Linked DNA regions of Schizosaccharomyces pombe. Changing the gene in region 1 together with any one later gene gives a genetic interaction. Each region holds a gene or a part of one and is shown in the gene's direction. Other genes may lie near its edges.

Evidence for each region. Genes that interact genetically often act in the same process or in processes that back each other up.
Region 2: mutations in SPOM_SPAP8A3.07C (region 1) and pho4 together harm fitness more than expected from each alone (negative genetic interaction), as found in Schizosaccharomyces pombe (one large-scale study listed by BioGRID).

Annotation. Positions count from the first base shown.
Region 1 is NC_003424.3:5,325,685-5,330,376, reverse strand, and holds SPOM_SPAP8A3.07C (phospho-2-dehydro-3-deoxyheptonate aldolase), read left to right. Parts: upstream 1-2,152; 5' UTR 2,153-2,267; coding exon 2,268-2,276; exon of another isoform or gene 2,277-2,547; coding exon 2,548-3,657; 3' UTR 3,658-3,991; downstream 3,992-4,692. Other genes in the region: myosin II light chain cdc4, read right to left, coding at 471-499, 572-664, 731-871, 945-1,076, 1,129-1,159; U2 auxiliary factor small subunit Uaf2, read right to left, coding at 4,116-4,692. UniProt on the Schizosaccharomyces pombe protein: Stereospecific condensation of phosphoenolpyruvate (PEP) and D-erythrose-4-phosphate (E4P) giving rise to 3-deoxy-D-arabino-heptulosonate-7-phosphate (DAHP).
Region 2 is NC_003423.3:444,824-448,949, reverse strand, and holds pho4 (thiamine-repressible acid phosphatase Pho4), read left to right. Parts: upstream 1-1,921; 5' UTR 1,922-2,141; coding exon 2,142-3,533; 3' UTR 3,534-3,626; downstream 3,627-4,126. Other genes in the region: nuclear membrane organization protein Apq12, read right to left, coding at 1-16. UniProt on the Schizosaccharomyces pombe protein: May dephosphorylate thiamine phosphates.

The DNA of each region.
Region 1 (4,692 bases):
TTCAAAGCATCGTATTGACACACAGTAAATTAGATATACAAGATATACACGATATGGCAAAATTGGAGCCGAATGCATCAAGAAAGCTGGCATCAACCGTAATTACTTACGAAAAGTGTAATTTTGAATGAAAACTTATATTTACATCTGGAGAGATTCAAACAATTTAAGCAGCTGAGATATAAGGTCATTTGCATGAGATAACAAATGGTTGTTAATCATATTCATAAATATACGAATATAGAAGGATATCTCTATTTCCGTATGCTAAACGATATGTGTAGAAATTCCTGCGAGTATCGAAAAGTCCAGTTATCTGTATTCAGGAACATATTGCTTCATAGTCCCAAGTGTATCAGATGGAAAAGCTGAACGAAAGTAAACTATTGAAGACATAAAATTGAAATAAAGGTGTAAATAATAAAGGAGAAACATATGCCGGGTAAATTATGCAAACTATGTAGATTTAATTAATTGGCAAGAATCATTTGAACGAAATCTAAAGGAAGCAGTTAGTATAATTAAGTATAGGTAGTTGATTGCCGAAGCCCAGAGTAGTAATAGAGCATACCGTGATAATTAACCATGCCATCTTTTACGGGAACACCCTTTAATAACTCGTCCATTTCTTCGTTGCTGAGTTTTTCACCCAAAGAAGTTAAAACTGATACAATTAGTTTCGCATTTTTTTATCAATCTGAAAAAAGGATAGATCTCTATAAATACATACCATAGCGCAATTCACCCACTCCAATCATGCCAGTGGCATCTTTATCAAACACCTGGAAGCCCTTCACGAATTCCTCTGGGTCACCAGGCATATCAAACCCATTGGGACGATTTAACACTTGAAGGAATTGTTCCATATCGACTACCAATTAGTATTGTCACTTAATGCACGGCTAAGGAGTATAACTCTCCAAACCCATAACAAGAAATCATACCTTCTGCGGGCAAAGTAGATTCAATTTCAGTAATCTCAGCCAGCGTAGGATTTTGTCCACACGCTCTTAAAAGATCACCAATGGACGTTTTGGGGATGCGACCAGTTCCATGGCGGTCAAATAAAGAAAAAGCTATCTTTTCGTTAATAAACATTTTGAAATGATTTCAAAAAGTAGTTATTACCTTGTTTATAAGGTGAATCGTCTGTCGACATGTTTGACTATTCTAAATGGATTGTTAGGATGAAGGTAAGTGTACTAAGTCGACTGTAATCTGTGTACACGCACCTATAAGCCCCATAGCAACCGTTGCCATGATAATGTTTACTGTATAGCGATCTGTTTAGTAATTTACTAAAGAACGTAGAGCTATGTAAACCAGCTTATATGAACAGAATTGTCATTTACTTTGCCAGATTTTAATTTAGAACATCATTCGTATACAGAATATGAATAGTCATACTAATGTCGAGCTACTTGATAAATTATGAAATGGCTGGCGATTTCACTATTTCTAGTGCAATACAAAATACGAGAGTCACCGGAACACGAGAAATACAGTACTGATGCACTTCATAAATTCAATAATCACATCAGAATATCAGATATCATTAACTTGTTAACCTCAAAAGACTAATCTACCGGAAAGCCAACGCTGTCCACCAGACTTCTAATTTTCGGCGTTTGTGTACCAAAAAGGCAGTCACAGATGGTATATCTAAATTTTCGGGCTCACAAAATATGCATTGAGTAAAAGTAAAATAAACGAATCAATATGTTTTTATATGTTGCTTTAATGCGTGGTTTATATAATTGAGCGAATCTTGGAAATAAGTATTTTGATAAGCAATGTATATATTCTCATATCCCAGTGGTACATGACAGTAAACATTGTAGGAAACGTAATTATTAAATATTATATATCAATCCCTTTTAACATTAATTTATGAATTAATAAGAAACCGAAAAAAGGCTTTATTTTATGTTTTTACGCTCAACCTTCAATTTACTTTCAAGTAATTAAATAGCAAGTGAAATCTAGAAATTGATACAAAACAAAGGACTTATAAATTTGAACAAATTTTTAAGCGATGATGTCCAGAAATTGCCTACTACTTGTTTCGCAGTTCCGATGACTTAGAGCCATTATCACTGGATCATCTTATTACTGGACTACATATATTTTTCGTTGGCGCTGCTTCGAACTCAGACAGAACCAACCTTCGTCGTAGTAAAGGACCTTTAATAGTGTTTACTTACTTGGCATTCAACAACTTAGGAAGCACTCTTTGACCTAAATTTATTAATTCTATTTAATAAGCCATGTCTCCGGTAAGTAACCCCAATTGGGCATCCAAAGAATTTTGCTAGTAAAAATTTTCATCAGTCGGAGAAACAGTACTGAAAGTTATCTTATTGAGTTATATAGTAGATTTTACTATGCGGATAACAAATTTGTTTTTGCTGATGAATTTTTAGGCAATTGAAATTTTAAATTTTTTTGTTTCTTTTTTTTGAAATTTTTATTGCTTTATGTTGATTGCTATGTCCAGCATGTTTGGTCTTTTTTTTTAATGTCAATTTGCTAACATTATTCAATTAGGTTTTTTTACCCAGCGGTGAAACTTACGATCAAGAGCATCTTGATGACAACCGTGTCTTAGGTTACAACCCTTTGGTTCCTGCCGCTTTGGTTCAACAAGAGATTCCTGTTTCTGAAACTTCTCGCAAAGTCATCACTGACTCCAGAAAGGAGATTCAAGCTATTCTCAACAAACAAGATGACAGAATTATCGTTGTTGTCGGTCCTTGCTCCATTCATGACCCTAAATTGGCCATGGACTATGCTAAGTTGCTGAAGCCCAAAGCTGACGAGCTTCAGGATGCTTTGTGCGTTGTCATGCGTTGTTATTTGGAGAAGCCCCGTACTACTATCGGATGGAAGGGTTTGGTCAACGACCCTAACTTGGATGGTTCTTTTGCTATCAACAAGGGTATTAGGATGGCTCGTCAAATGTATTGCGACGTTACCAATTTTGGCATTCCTTTGGCCAGTGAGATGTTGGACAACATTTCTCCCCAATTCTTCGCCGACTTACTCAGTTTTGGTGCTATCGGTGCTCGTACTACCGAGTCTCAATTACATCGTGAATTGGCTTCTGCCCTTTCCTTCCCTGTTGGTTTCAAGAATGGTACTGATGGTACTGTTGGTGTGGCGATTGATGCCATTGGTGCTACCGCCCATCCTCACACAATGCTAGGAGTTACTAAACAAGGTCTCGCCGCTATTACCATGACCAGGGGCAACAAGGATACCTTCATCATTTTGCGTGGTGGTAAGAAGGGTCCTAACTATGATGCTGAGCACGTTGCCGCCGTTCGCAAAGATCTTGAGAAGGCCAACCTTCCTCCTCGTATCATGATCGATTGCTCTCATGGCAACTCAAGCAAGAATCATTTGAACCAACCAAAGGTCTCCAAGAGCATCGCCGAACAAATCAGAAATGGCGACTCTTCCATTGTTGGTGTTATGATTGAATCTCATATCAATGAAGGTCGTCAAGATGCTCCAATCCGTCCTGGCGTTAAGGATACTCTCAAGTACGGTGTCAGTATCACTGATGCTTGTGTTAGCTGGGAACAAACTGCTCCAATGCTAGACGATCTTGCTGAAGCTGTCCGTGCTCGCCGTCAAAACCAAAAAAGTAATTAAGACATATAAATGTTATATTCAGCAGTTTTAATTTTTTTAATTTTTGAAACTTATTTTTTCGTAACATACAACAACTGAACAATTTTGGCTTAAATACGGGTTCTATTTATTTTTTTTTGTTTTTTTTTTCTTATATCGTACACAGCTTCTACCAATAACACCTTCGTTTTTAAGAATTGCTGTGCAAGTTTTGCGAAATGTTTGATCGTTTCATATGTTTCTAATCGATCTCCTTTAGCTTGTAATCAGCCATAGGCACATTGGACACAAAATTTAAAACGTCTATGAGTACAGTTGTACAAAGATCAAGTTTATTAGTAAACAATAAAAGAATGCAACATCTATTTAAATAACCTAAATCACAACAAACTATAGCCAGAGATTAATCATAATAAACGAAGTAAAACCGTACAAAAGCAAACCAGAATCCAAAACAAATACATTCCATAAGTTGCTATTTAATTTTTGCGTTCAGCAGTTACACTGACCCATCGATTCGTGGAATCACTATTGGGCTCCTTTTTCATTTCTTCTGCTGCATTTAAGGCCAAATACTTTCTTTGTGCTAGTACCAAATCGCGTAAAAGCTGAGGACTTGGTTTTTTGGCATGCATAAAATTACAAAGGCCACCCCGCTGACATTCCGAAGTTTCGTGTTGCCGGCAACATGCCTCGCGAAAATCAGTTACAGGAGATAACTCGGCGTAGACTGGTCTTTGGGAATACCATCGGGAATTTAAATCATCAATAGCATTTTGGGCAGACTCTTCATACTTGAATCTTACATAAACATTTCCGACTAAGTGATCTCCAACATTGTCACAGACGACTAATTGTTCAACTTCACCGTATTTTGAAAACTCACAAAACATGTCCTCGTAGAATGCATCAAATTGTTCTGCAAGTTCACGCTGCGTGAACTTTTTGCCATTTGGTTCATGAATTGGGTTTTTATACATGTTGGGACATAAGATCGTTTGACTAAAATTTGGTTTGACATGTTTACGAGAGCAGCGTTCCCCATGTCTACAAGCT
Region 2 (4,126 bases), on another chromosome or scaffold:
CGGATGTCAAAGACATTTTCTAAAAAGTTAAAATATGAACGGGGAGTAATAGAGATGGGAGTAGTTAGGTGTGCTTTTTGACTGAATGTTGACGTTGTAGGCGAATTTTACCAACGATTACATTTGCTAATAAAATATGTTAAAATAAAAATTGGAAGATGAGTTGAAATAAACGGTTCTATAAACAAAACTCATTTAAAGAAAGAACTGGCAAACAGATTATGTCAACATATCTCATCTAATATCGAGACTACTGATAAAAAAATCTAATTTGCTAATGACTACAAGCTTTTATTGTTTACTCTTTGTTGCTTACAGTTCTAGTCAAAGGAGGTATTTTATTTTCGTATTTCGCTGTACATAGCATAATTTCATGAAATGCTTTTCTCTATAAATATGCTTTTATAAAGAACTAGTTAATAAAAAATTGCTTATTTCTAAGCTCTTTTAGGATTAGTAATATATAAAAAGGAAGATAAGTATTTTTATCCCTTTTTAACTGGATTGTTATTACTATAAAAGAAAGACTCTTACGGTTGATAATAAAAGCGTAGAGATCAGAAGATAAAAGTAGAATTCACCGCCTATATTTCCTTTGGAATAAATATCCAACAGTATACTTACTATTATAGAGAGAAAATTAATTTCCCTTTGCCCTTTATCATATAAAATGGTTCTTTTTATGCTGAGTGCCTAGCATAATTCCTTCCTTTTCGAAATATCAAAAGGCTTGTGAGACTTCAATTGGTAAATGCTTTAAAGTGAGTTATTACTAGCTCGCTTCAACCACTTCAGCTTGATTCTCCAATAACCGAGTTTTCAAAAGTACTCATTCTTGCAATTGCTATAAAATTTTTATCTTTATTTATACCATTACCATTGTAATATTGTTATAAGGCATCGCTTTACTTACTGAACATAAAAAAAATCTTCATCATAAAATTAATTAAATGTCAGAATAGAAAAAAGTGTTTAGAGGGTCCAACCGTACAAACAAACAACTTTTACGTTTTTAACATTTTCATTTCTTCAATAACCCCACAGTTGTTTTAAGCTATTACTTAAGCGAGGGCTGCACATGACAATGTGGCTAGTATACCCTTTATATACATTTTGAATATGCATATGAAACCCATTATATTAACGCTGGAATAGCGGGAATGCTTGTTTATTATATTAATTTATTCTATTGGAATGAATAAATCTTTTTTCTGGACATTTAAGAACGGCATGAAACAAGTAGCTCTAATAAATTAAATTGTTGGATCTTACTAAAGACTAAATATTAATAATAATTTTCTCCCAAGCTATTTATATACATATTAGAAGCAATTTGCAAAGATAGCAGACTAATACTCTTCAATGCCCAACTTCTTATTAGTGATATACATGTAAAAATATCTTTATTATGCAATATTATGTAGCAGCTCGTACAATGTTTGCACATCTTTACACAATAGTATTCATTTTGTATTACATTATCATTTATAATTCCATTTCACAGAGAGTAGGCATTGCTATTATATAATATAAATTTATATAAAACAAAAAGACTGCAAAATCATTTCCAACTGAAACTTCGTTCTTTAGTTCTATTAAATTATTAAGTATTGGAATATCAGATTTTTGTAAGTTCAGTAATAATAATATCATTATATTACACCGTTGTATTATTAATCGCATAATATTACTGTAACACTTTGTCCGTAATTTGCATCGTTATTTCAGTTAACAATTGTGGGTCCAAAATCTTAAAGTCTAATAGCGAACTACACCAGGTTTGCAACTTCATTCATTTTTTTTAATTCCAATGTAGTCGTGCCGAAATCAGACTTTGGTTTGGTGGTAGCCGGGGTGCTTAGTGTTAGCAGATATCCGGATTGATTGTATATAAATATCTGCTGCTTCTTGCGCTTAGAATAGTCATCTTTTGACTGTTTATTTTAGACTTTTCCTACTTCAAATAATCAAAGTTCGTTGATTGAATAGACTACCGTTCGTTTCAACCCGCTTTTAAATATTCGATCGTTATTTTTTTTGCTATTGAATCGCTGGTCGTTGGTTGATTCATACACAGTAAATTTCTTTCTTGTGGTTTTATTGGGTCTGCTTGGGTTACATAAATTCATTGTTTTTTCTCGATGAAGTTAAGTGGTATTTCTCTATGGCTTTTGGCCGCATCCATCGTTCATGCTGGTAAATCTCAATTTGAGGCATTTGAAAATGAGTTTTATTTCAAGGACCATCTTGGAACGATTAGTGTATATCATGAACCCTACTTTAATGGGCCCACTACCTCCTTCCCCGAATCTTGTGCAATTAAACAGGTTCATTTGCTTCAGCGTCATGGATCTCGAAACCCGACTGGGGATGACACTGCCACTGATGTCTCTAGTGCGCAATATATAGATATTTTTCAAAACAAGCTTCTAAATGGCTCAATTCCGGTAAATTTTAGCTATCCTGAAAATCCTCTTTACTTCGTTAAACATTGGACTCCTGTGATAAAGGCTGAAAATGCCGACCAGTTGTCCAGCAGCGGTCGAATTGAACTTTTTGACTTGGGCCGTCAAGTTTTTGAGCGCTACTATGAGCTTTTCGACACTGATGTCTACGATATCAATACTGCTGCTCAAGAACGTGTTGTCGACTCTGCAGAATGGTTTAGTTATGGAATGTTTGGCGATGATATGCAGAACAAAACCAACTTCATCGTTCTTCCGGAAGACGATTCTGCGGGTGCAAACTCCTTAGCTATGTATTACTCTTGTCCCGTTTATGAAGACAACAATATTGATGAAAACACTACTGAAGCCGCCCATACTAGTTGGCGTAATGTTTTTCTCAAGCCTATCGCCAATCGCTTAAACAAATACTTTGATAGCGGTTATAATCTTACGGTTTCGGATGTTCGCAGTCTTTACTATATTTGTGTATACGAGATCGCTCTCAGAGATAACAGCGATTTCTGTTCACTCTTTACTCCCTCTGAATTTTTGAATTTTGAATATGACAGTGACCTTGACTACGCATATTGGGGTGGTCCCGCTTCAGAATGGGCTTCCACATTAGGTGGGGCTTATGTTAATAACCTTGCAAATAATCTTCGTAAGGGTGTGAATAATGCTTCCGATCGTAAGGTATTCTTAGCGTTTACCCACGACTCTCAAATTATTCCAGTCGAGGCTGCTCTTGGGTTTTTCCCCGACATTACTCCTGAGCACCCTCTACCGACTGACAAAAACATTTTTACATACTCATTAAAAACCTCTTCGTTCGTTCCCTTCGCAGGAAACTTAATTACTGAACTTTTCTTATGTTCTGATAATAAATACTATGTACGCCATCTCGTCAACCAGCAAGTATACCCCCTTACTGATTGCGGTTATGGTCCTAGTGGTGCTTCAGATGGGTTATGCGAGTTGAGCGCTTACTTGAATTCTTCGGTTCGTGTTAATTCTACCTCTAATGGTATTGCTAATTTTAACTCGCAATGTCAGGCGCATTCCACCAACGTTACCGTCTACTACTAGACTTAGCATCTTATATTATTGTTAACACAATTGGGTCCTTAGGAATAATATAGATAATTTTTAACTATAGTAATAGCTTATGTATAAGACTTAGGTATTAAGGAGGAAAAGTAGAGCGAACAGAAAGTGAGCATTTATATATTCAAGAAAGACTTACGAGACATAGTATAAACGAGTTGTGTCAGTGTTTGAACAAAAAAGGAAATACTTATAGTTTTAAATGCCTAGTACGAAATCTATAACCTTCACTCGTACCGCCTTTAGGTGAAGCTAATTCTTCAATTCGACTTACTTCAAAGCCTTTCAAGTGACTCCGTAGCTTTTGTAATTCCTTTCCAAATCATTAATATTAATAGGTCGGGATAAATCTTAAACATTTCTCAAGATATAACGCGTACATTAACGATTCCTTTTGGCGTCAACAACTCACCTTTTACCACACACGAACGACACAAAAGTTTAATAGAATTCATTTAAAATATTTGAAAGTCATGTAATTTGCCAAAAAAAAAATCCCTAGTCCTCCTTTTCCATTACACGGATAAAAGAATCAATCAATCCCTTTTTTTAAACCCTTTAATATCTGTAGCTCT